Daphnia pulex: one gene and its partner. The protein of the gene in region 1 interacts with the protein of each later gene in a pairwise test. Links are inferred from orthologs where the notes say so. Each region holds a gene or a part of one and is shown on either strand. Other genes may lie near its edges. The genes, in order: kinesin-like protein unc-104 and liprin-alpha-2-like.

Evidence for each region.
Region 2: the proteins of kinesin-like protein unc-104 (region 1) and liprin-alpha-2-like interact in binary tests that used the Caenorhabditis elegans proteins (3 or more experiments, as listed by UniProt). The link is inferred for Daphnia pulex from reciprocal best matches to the Caenorhabditis elegans genes unc-104 and syd-2.

What each region holds. Positions count from the first base shown.
Region 1 is NC_060017.1:1,487,207-1,491,549, forward strand, and holds the start of kinesin-like protein unc-104, read right to left. Parts: upstream 3,069-4,343; intron 3,000-3,068; coding exon of another isoform or gene 2,879-2,999; exon of another isoform or gene 2,766-2,878; intron 2,653-2,765; exon of another isoform or gene 2,039-2,652; intron 1,561-2,038; 5' UTR 1,482-1,560; coding exon 1,382-1,481; intron 1,105-1,381; coding exon 1,022-1,104; intron 844-1,021; coding exon 765-843; intron 706-764; coding exon 539-705; intron 462-538; coding exon 283-461; intron 213-282; coding exon 1-212. Other genes in the region: alpha-mannosidase 2C1-like, read left to right, coding at 2,879-2,999, 3,069-3,202, 3,308-3,412, 3,474-3,586, 3,657-3,688, 3,761-3,971, 4,041-4,242, 4,315-4,343. UniProt on the Caenorhabditis elegans protein: Motor protein involved in microtubule-associated anterograde transport. Regulates the transport of synaptic vesicle precursors in the axon of DA motor neurons. Regulates the polarized sorting of axonal proteins.
Region 2 is NC_060018.1:6,195,617-6,199,895, reverse strand, and holds the start of liprin-alpha-2-like, read right to left. Parts: upstream 2,986-4,279; 5' UTR 2,786-2,985; intron 2,224-2,785; 5' UTR 2,113-2,223; coding exon 1,945-2,112; intron 1,888-1,944; coding exon 1,798-1,887; intron 1,735-1,797; coding exon 1,633-1,734; intron 1,544-1,632; coding exon 1,379-1,543; intron 1,315-1,378; coding exon 1,240-1,314; intron 1,168-1,239; coding exon 847-1,167; intron 769-846; coding exon 649-768; intron 575-648; coding exon 470-574; intron 405-469; coding exon 248-404; intron 172-247; coding exon 50-171; intron 1-49. Other genes in the region: probable phosphoglycerate kinase, read right to left, coding at 3,420-3,559, 3,621-3,721, 3,773-4,029, 4,093-4,279. UniProt on the Caenorhabditis elegans protein: May play a role in regulating the structure of the neuronal region, called the active zone, from which synaptic vesicles send neurotransmitter signals across the synapse. This may be in association with the liprin-beta protein hlb-1.

The DNA of each region.
Region 1 (4,343 bases):
TCTTGTTGATGTTAGCTCCTTCTTTTAAACGCGTTCCTTTAGCGCCGGTGGCGTCGGCTCGTTCCGAACCCGCCAAATCCACCAAGGAAATCTTGCTGACTTTTTCCGTGGATAGACTTGTCGTTTGATCGAAACGTCTCTGCGTGAAAATGAGCGTAAAAACGGCATGTGATCGACTAGATGTCTCGTTCATGTTGGTAGCTGCCACCGTCCTGTTTAATAACAAGATGTCACAAGAAAACTTAAGTATTAGGACGAATGTGACGGTGGGGAATTATTGACCTGGCTTTGTTGCCTTCGTCAATAAGCTCGTTGACGTCGTCGAAGCAAGTAACAGCCAACTTGGAAAGATCTTCTACGTAGGGTCCCAGGAGAGGGTGCTCACGTACGCGCAAGTTGTTTTTGTTCTTGGGATTGAGCAAGTCACGAACTCGTTCGCAATAAATTTCCATGTAACTGACCTGTTGTGATTGTGCGTAAGTACAGTTGACTTTGTGACTCAACTAAATTAAAAACAATGTCTTGAACGCTACCGTACCTCGACCGAGTACTGCATATCTTCGTTAGCATCGCTATTGATTCGACCGAAAAGATCCATGCAAAGCTGTGGAATGATGCCCTCTTGGCCTTCTTCTTGTTTGCCCATCATCGTAAATGATTTTCCGGCTCCCGTTTGGCCGTAGGCGAAAATGCAAACGTTGTAACCTGTTTTCAAATTCAATGTTTGCACTTTAAATCAATTTTCTTTTAGTTGAAGAAATTACCTTCGAAGGCGTGATCGAGCATCTCTTCACCGATGTCTTTGTAGACATTGATCTGCGGTGCGAAATTGTAATCTTGAGGCTAAACGTGAAAAAAGGGGGAAAACAATAGAAAATCGATAAGTGATCGTAGCTCGACTCAATGGGCCGTCTCTCTGTGCTTGCACCTTGACATTCGCCACCACATCGGTGGGTTGAAAGTACACAGAGTATACGACGAGGGGGAAAAAAAGAAATGGCAGAAACAAGGCATAACTCACGTCATGTGACCAATAAGAGTAATCAAAGTTAAAACTCTTGGAAGCCTCCTTGGAACCGGCTGGAGCTTTCGGATTGGTTATGACTGTGGAAGACAGAATGATTAACAGTTACGACACTATTATATGAAAGATGGCGGTTCTTTTCGACGATTAACAAGGGAACCAAAAATAGAAAAACACAGTGTGGGCGGGCGGAGGATGAATGCGTCATTTACTTCCATTTGTCTAGTTTTCTTTTTCCTACTCCGGAACGGCCGTGATATTGGCAACAAGTCTTGCGCTTTTAACGAAGGCTTAGAATCCAACTTTTTTTTTACGGCACACGAATAATCCTCCATTTTTGATGACGTCAATCCTTACCCGTGGTATTGTCGACCATCTCGATAATGCATTTAGAATCGCGGTTGATTTCTCGACTATTGAACGGACGCACACGAACGGCCACTTTAACGGACGACATTTTGACTTGATTAACGGCTGCAATCCAAATGGAAACAATCACAGCCCAGCAGCACTTGATGCAATATCCAGCAGCGACCCTGTCAATCAAACAAGACATTAACACAATTAATACACCCCATTCGCGCGAAAGAGATAACAAATCTATTTTTCGATTCCTTTTCTGTTATCTCTAAATCGAGACGCTGTCAGGGGAATCGAAACTCACGCCCCTTCTTTTCCCTCTTCTATTCGATCGACTTAACAATAGGCAACGCCGGAATGTCGTTTCGTGACAATATGAGACGCAATCCAGTCGCGCATAATACGGGCTACTTCATTTTTCCTCTCGAAAGAACCGCTGCACTTGCACTGTGCAGACCCTGTTCGTCTTTCAAGGCGATTTAACATTCAGAAAACAATATGGCCATGTAACTCGATGCATGGAGGCCCAGCCCACGCTCAATATATTTAAAATGTATTAAGGTAGACCCGCGTACGCTTTTTTTTTTATCGCATTAAGGATATAAAACTGTAAAATTGAATAACATTACAAAGGCAAATGATGGTAGAGCTTACCCGGCTTGGAACTATGAGTGTGACGTTTAGCTATACGGAGCTCAGTAACGTTGATCCATGACACACGAATCGATTATTTCTTCCTCCTACTCTTTTTCTTTTCTTCAATACTTCACGGGATAATAAAAAAGAATTTCAAAAAATAAAATAAAAAGCCCTGCCCTGCTGCCACTTTGACAACAACGAAGAAAACAACTTACTCGGGGACTGGGGCCAACACTGAAGGTGCCACGGCAGTATTCAACTCAGAAAAACCGTTCGTCACCGAAGAGCTGCTCTGTGACTCGACAATATCGATCGTCTTGGCCGACCTGCGCAGTAGCAAATCCCATCGGTGAAAGTGTATCGCTCCCCCCGCCTTCTGAAGAAGGAAAAAAAGGACCCCGTTGAGAGTTCTACTGCTGGCGGTCTAGCCGCTCTTTAAACCGACCGACAGCTTTACGCTTGGAAGAAGGTTTATTTTATTCGCAAGGCAACCCCATTTTTTTTTTCATTTCGACTTTCCCCAACCGCTGCATGCAGTACCGCACAGACGCGGAATGATGGTAATTCATTCTACAAATATGCTCCAAGGCATGCGTGATCGATAAAATAATGTAAAACGCAACAAAACACTGCAATATTGATCTATCGATAAACATTGATAAAAAAAAATAGACTTTTACGGCCACTAGTGTTGGAAGTAAAAAAATAATAAACAAAAAAAAAACGTCAATAAGGTTGCCGAAACCATCTTGTTTACCACCGAATGGCCGCCAGGGACCAGCTGGAAAGTTAAACGACCGTGTCATCTCAATTTTTGTTAGAATTAAACAAACAGACGGTCCTTAGCCATCACAGATGGCTAGTTTACACAAAAATCGACGAACTACCCTTGAAAGGATTGAAAAATTCGTTTCTAGAATTTATTTTACTGATGTAAATTTATATGGACGCATTTACCCACATCAAGAGAATGTCGGTACGAGAAAACACTCAGACATTAGAACTTTAATCACTCATTAACGATATTTTGCTTATAACATTTTAGACATATTTCACTGGGCCTTACCTCAAGATAAACACTGGAAGTCAATTTCCTTTGATGAAATCATCAAACAAACATTTCTCCCACAGAAAATTGGGGACTGTTTTGGACCCACTTGGGCTACACACTACTTTAAGGTGTTGCCAGTTGTCAATGCAAAATAACAGATATTTTTGTACATGTATTTATTCAATCCTCTCATTTTCTTTTAAAATACTGAACATCTTTTTGGCCTTTAAAAGATTGTTGTGAAGATTCCTGAATCTTGGTCTGGCAAAGAAATCCACCTTCGATGGAATTCAAATTCAGAAGCACTTCTTTTCAACACTCTTGGAGAACCTCTTCAGGTTTATAACCAATCATTTTGTGTTAACAATAGAATAATTTCCATTGATACCATCTATGCAGGGATTCACTGGAAGTCCTGATCACCAGAAACGAGAAGAATTCATAATCTCAAAATCATGGGAGAAGAAAGGTCCAGAAGAACTGGTTTACTTTATTGAAATGGCTTGCAATAGGTATCTTTGATTTATTTATTCATGCTCAGGTTAAAGAGAAATAAAAACAAATTTTGTTAAAATTTCATAGCATGTTTGGAGCTGGCAAAGGAGGAATGATTGGTAAAAAATATCTTCAATGTATTACCAATTTTTACCATTGAGAATTTTAGAAGCAGCATTTATACATTACAGACGCTCCCGACCCTGACCGAAAATATTGTCTGCAAATGGCTAATGTTGCGGTTTGCGACACAATAGCATACCATCTCCTGATCGACTTAGAACTTTTATTTGACATGGCCAAAGAATTGACGGAAGCAGACGGAAAGGGTGACAGTCGTGGTTATCAGGCTTTGTACGCAGGAAATCAAATCATAAATGCCATTCAAGCTGATGATTGGAAGTAATTTCGCGTTGCATAATTAATTAAATTTATATTTAGTAAATACTTAAGTCCCAGAAATTCTTTCAGGGAAGCTCAACGAGTGTCAAACGAGTTTTTTAAGTACCGAAACGGCGAACGCGCGCACATCATAGACGCAATGGGTCACTGTCATATCGATACGGCTTGGCTCTGGACGTACGATGAAACTATCCGGAAGTGCGCTCGCAGCTGGTCATCTGTGATAGCACTAATGAAGGACTATCCTGAAATGACTTTTGTTTGTTCTCAAGTAGGTTGGAGCTATTTTCTACAAAAAGTTCACTATTTTGTCTCATAACGACTGAATCATTGATTTATTCAGGCCCAGCAATTCAGCTGGGTAAAACAGTA
Region 2 (4,279 bases), on another chromosome or scaffold:
ATATTGTTAGCATTTCTCTCAAGATTTCAAAAACAAATAAAAACTCCACCTTTTCTTTAAGCGAATCTTCTAGACACTTTCTTGATTTATCTAGATCTTGCGTTAGGTGATTTTTCTCTTCTAGCGCCGACATACGCTCTTTGAGATGAACTTGCAACCGGTCGTTTGATTCTGTTTGTATTGTTTGTTTTTCAAACAAAAATTTAAAAAAATGATACAATAAAGCAATTATGCATAATGAAGTTACCTTGTAAAAGCTTATCAACAGTTGAGGATAGACGTGAATTATGTTCCTCGTTAATCCTCAGTCTCTGCTGCAACTTAGCCACTTCAGTTGACTTCTCTTCTAATTGGCTTTCCAGTCTCTGGATGCGATCCTCAGCCGTACCGTGGCGCTCTTGAACCTTTGAATCATAATGCTAATCGATAAGCGAGATGAACATGAAGGGTTTTGTTAAACATAATTTACTTGAGTTAATTCATGCTGGACCTCGGGTAGTTTCGAGAGCTGGGTAACTTTCTGATCAGCCAGCTCCAATTTCTCTTCCATAGTGCGGACCCTGTCCTCTTGCAACTATGTAAAGTAATTGATAAAATCGGATTATATGACGAATTCTAATAAAAAGTTAACGAGCTAAAAACCCATACCTTAAGTTGTGCGTCTTTATTACGCAGCTCTTGCTCTAATCGCTCGTTCAAGTCGTGAAGAGACGTTGATTCACGTTGGGCATTCAAGTATCGTTTCTCTAATGTAGCAATGCGCTCCTCCTGATAGTAATGACGTGTAGAAAAATGATTTGAGCATTAAATATTACAATTTCATGGAAACAGTTGAATTAAATGAACCTGATCTTGGTTTTGCGCGCTCTTCTCGTGAAGATCACGTTGAAGTCGGGCCTGTAACTCCTGACTTCTCTGGGCATCCCTCTGAGCAGCACGAAGAGCTTCTTCAGCTTCCAATAGTCTCCGTTGTAAAACCGTCAATTCGCTACTTTGTTTCTCCAACGTTGATTGCAGTTCCGTCATTTTACTAGCTTCAGCTGAAACTTCGGACGTTCCATTTGTCGCGTTAGTAACGTCACTAGTACCACTCTCACCAGCTGCACCACCATTTCCATCCGTGCTGGTGTGCGTCACTGACATGGACCCATTCTTTAAATGTTGCAACTGCAAATGCAAATACCACATCAAAGTTAACACCAACTACAAAAAAGAAAAAGACGATTATTTAGGACCCACTTCTTCTTTGGTAGTTGTTAGCTCTTCTTCGAGACCGGCTGTCCGTTCTAACGCCACCCTCAATCGTTCGCGAACCTACAAATAACGGATGAGTTAGAGTCTTCTAGTTTGTTCAATATTTTCATTTAAAAAAAGTTACCTTCTCATCCAAGGCTTTATGATGCTCAAATAATGACTTAAGCGCCTTCAGGACTTCGACTTCGGAAGAAACACCTGCACTATTTGCTGCTTGTCGCTTGACAACCGTCATTCGCAAAGATCGTTCATGGCGGGACACCAAGCATTCCAAGTGTTCCAACAGAAGCTATAATCAGAGTAACAACATATTTAATGAGTACGTTGTTGGCATTTGATTTCCTTATAGCGATATAGTGTGATGAAGTCGAATAATACCCTAGTGTTGTTCCTCTCAGCTTTGAGTTCGGTAATTTCTTCGTCTTTTTCCAGAAGCTGTTCCCTAGACTGGGCCAGCTCTTTAGTTAATGACGCCAATTCCTACAAGTCATGAAAAAAAAAAAATTATATTTTATTCCTCAAACCTTTCTCTTGAATTTTTACCTGAGGTAAAGATGCGGCCATCTGGCGTTGAAGGCAATCCCGTTCTTTTTCTGCATCAGCTAATCGAGCTTCCAGCTCTCCCATACGATCCTAGATAAGACTCAAATGATGAAATACACTAAATCATGAGGTGAATAGAGAACATACTTGTGCATCGCGTAGAGAATCTACTAGCCGGTCTCTTTCATCCAGCATAGAGACCATGAGCTGTTCAAGGTTTCCTTCTTCCCCTGACAGCAGTTGGGAGGATCTTTGTGATAGTTGGCTGGCATCTTCCGTAATAGTAGGCATCACATCACACATCATGTTCCACATTTTTGTGGAACTAATATAATTGGTATTTATTAAGTTTGAGGACTAAGATCAGCAACAATTCAAGAAAGGTCCAGAGTTGGCAATGTTATGGATTTGATGTCGGCACAAAATCTAAAAGAGTATAAAACAACGAAGATATAAGTAGAGCTGTCAAAACATATAAGAAAAACATGATTCCAACATTATTCCAACATAGTTTTTTAACATTGCTTAGACAATATATGGGAATTGGTAGTATTAATCCAGATTATTATGCAAAGTCTTTTGGGTTATAACCTTCTTGCATTCACACATTATACCGCCAACACAAATATAAATGTGAAGGATGTTAACAATTTAACTTAAATTTGAAAAAAAAAGTTGTATGGGAACTTGCACTAACAATAAAAAATGCATAGAATTGAAACTTGGATAATAGAAAGGTGCTATTAGCTTGTTAGTGTTTGTATTTACAACCCAACCCGTAACCTAGCTTCATGTAAAAGGAATAATGCTAGATTCTGCATATCATCAACTTCTATGCTGAATTCTGAATCATATCACTTATGAGAACACAAAATGTAAATTGTGATGTATCACACATCTGGATCAAGGGGTTTACGAAAGAAAAGCGTTTGTTTTCTGTGCGGCTTCGAAGCTAGGCAACAAGAGAAATAACTGTTTAGATCCTTACGAGGCAATGTGCTCCGACAGAATCACGTATACGAGATAATCAGGAAAATATCATTTTCACTTCAGCACAATCTTGGCCGATGATGAACCAAATGTCGCACGTAAGAAATAATTAATATTTTCCAGTTTCAACAACTTCTGTCAAAACCAAGACTTCGCCGTCAAGCCGCCATATTTGACTTTGACGTCACAGTAGTCACGTGACCTGTATGGTCGTTCGTACAGTAGGCTACAGACGAAAACGAAAACGCTCGTACAGTTTAACACGGGCCCGGCTCTCGTCGTCGTCGATTTTCCCATTAACATTAACATTCTACTTTCTCTTATATGGGATATATCCCTATATTTTATGTGAAGTTTTTATCTTATCACATACCAGATACCACTGAGCTTGAATGAGTTTCAGAATTTAAAGATTTATAGTGACACACAAGAAAAGATTTCATCTTTCAACTAACGATGTTTATTAGATATTTGACTTGAAATTTCAAATTATTCATGCAAAACATAAACTGGATTACAGAATGAAACATTTAATTTAGGACCATTTCTTTTTACAAAATCTCTACTAAATTGCCAATTGAAAGAACGACTGATGCTTGGGTTTGATTAAAATTTAAGAAGTGACATCATATTTATGCATCAGAAAGCGCGGCGACGCCTGGCAGAACTTTGCCTTCCAACAACTCTAGAGAGGCTCCACCTCCAGTAGAGACATGGCTAACCTTGTCCTCTGTTCCCCATTTGGCAGCGCAGGTCGCTGTGTCTCCTCCACCTTTTCAATCAAACGAAAATCAACAAATTTATCTTCTAGAAAAACCGGGGAAATGGTTTACCAATGATAGTAGTGGCGCCGTTTTGGGTCGCAAGAACAACAGCATCCATGACAGCCTTTGTACCAGTGGCAAATTTCTCGAATTCAAAGACTCCCACAGGTCTACAGAAACACAATTAGTAACTGTACATAATCCGGTCACGCTATTATTACCCGTTCCAAACAATTGTTTTGGCTCTTTGGATTGGGTCTACAAAGTGTGCAATTGTATTTGGTCCACAATCCAAGCCCATCCAACCTTCGGGAATTCCAGACTCAACGCTGGCGGACTGTGTAGCAGCGTCCTCAGCAAACTTGTCTGCGCAAGTAAAGTCGACAGGAAGATGAAGCTTCACTCCATTTTTCTCTGCTTTGGCTACCAAATCCTTGACTATTTTGGATCCTTCCTCGTCGAACAACGAGTTACCGATCTGTTTGTCGACAATTGTTAGTCATAGGCTGTTTTCCCTCTGGCCTCACTAATTTTTTTTTACCTGCATGCCGTTGATGACTTTCAGGAAAGTGTACGCCATGCCACCACCGATGATCATTTCGTTAACTTGGTCAAGCAAGTTGCCAATCAACTGGATTTTATCCGCAACTTTAGCACCACCAAGAATAGCCAGGAATGGACGTTCAGGGTTATCAAGTGCTTTGGCGAAATAAGCCAACTCCTTCTTC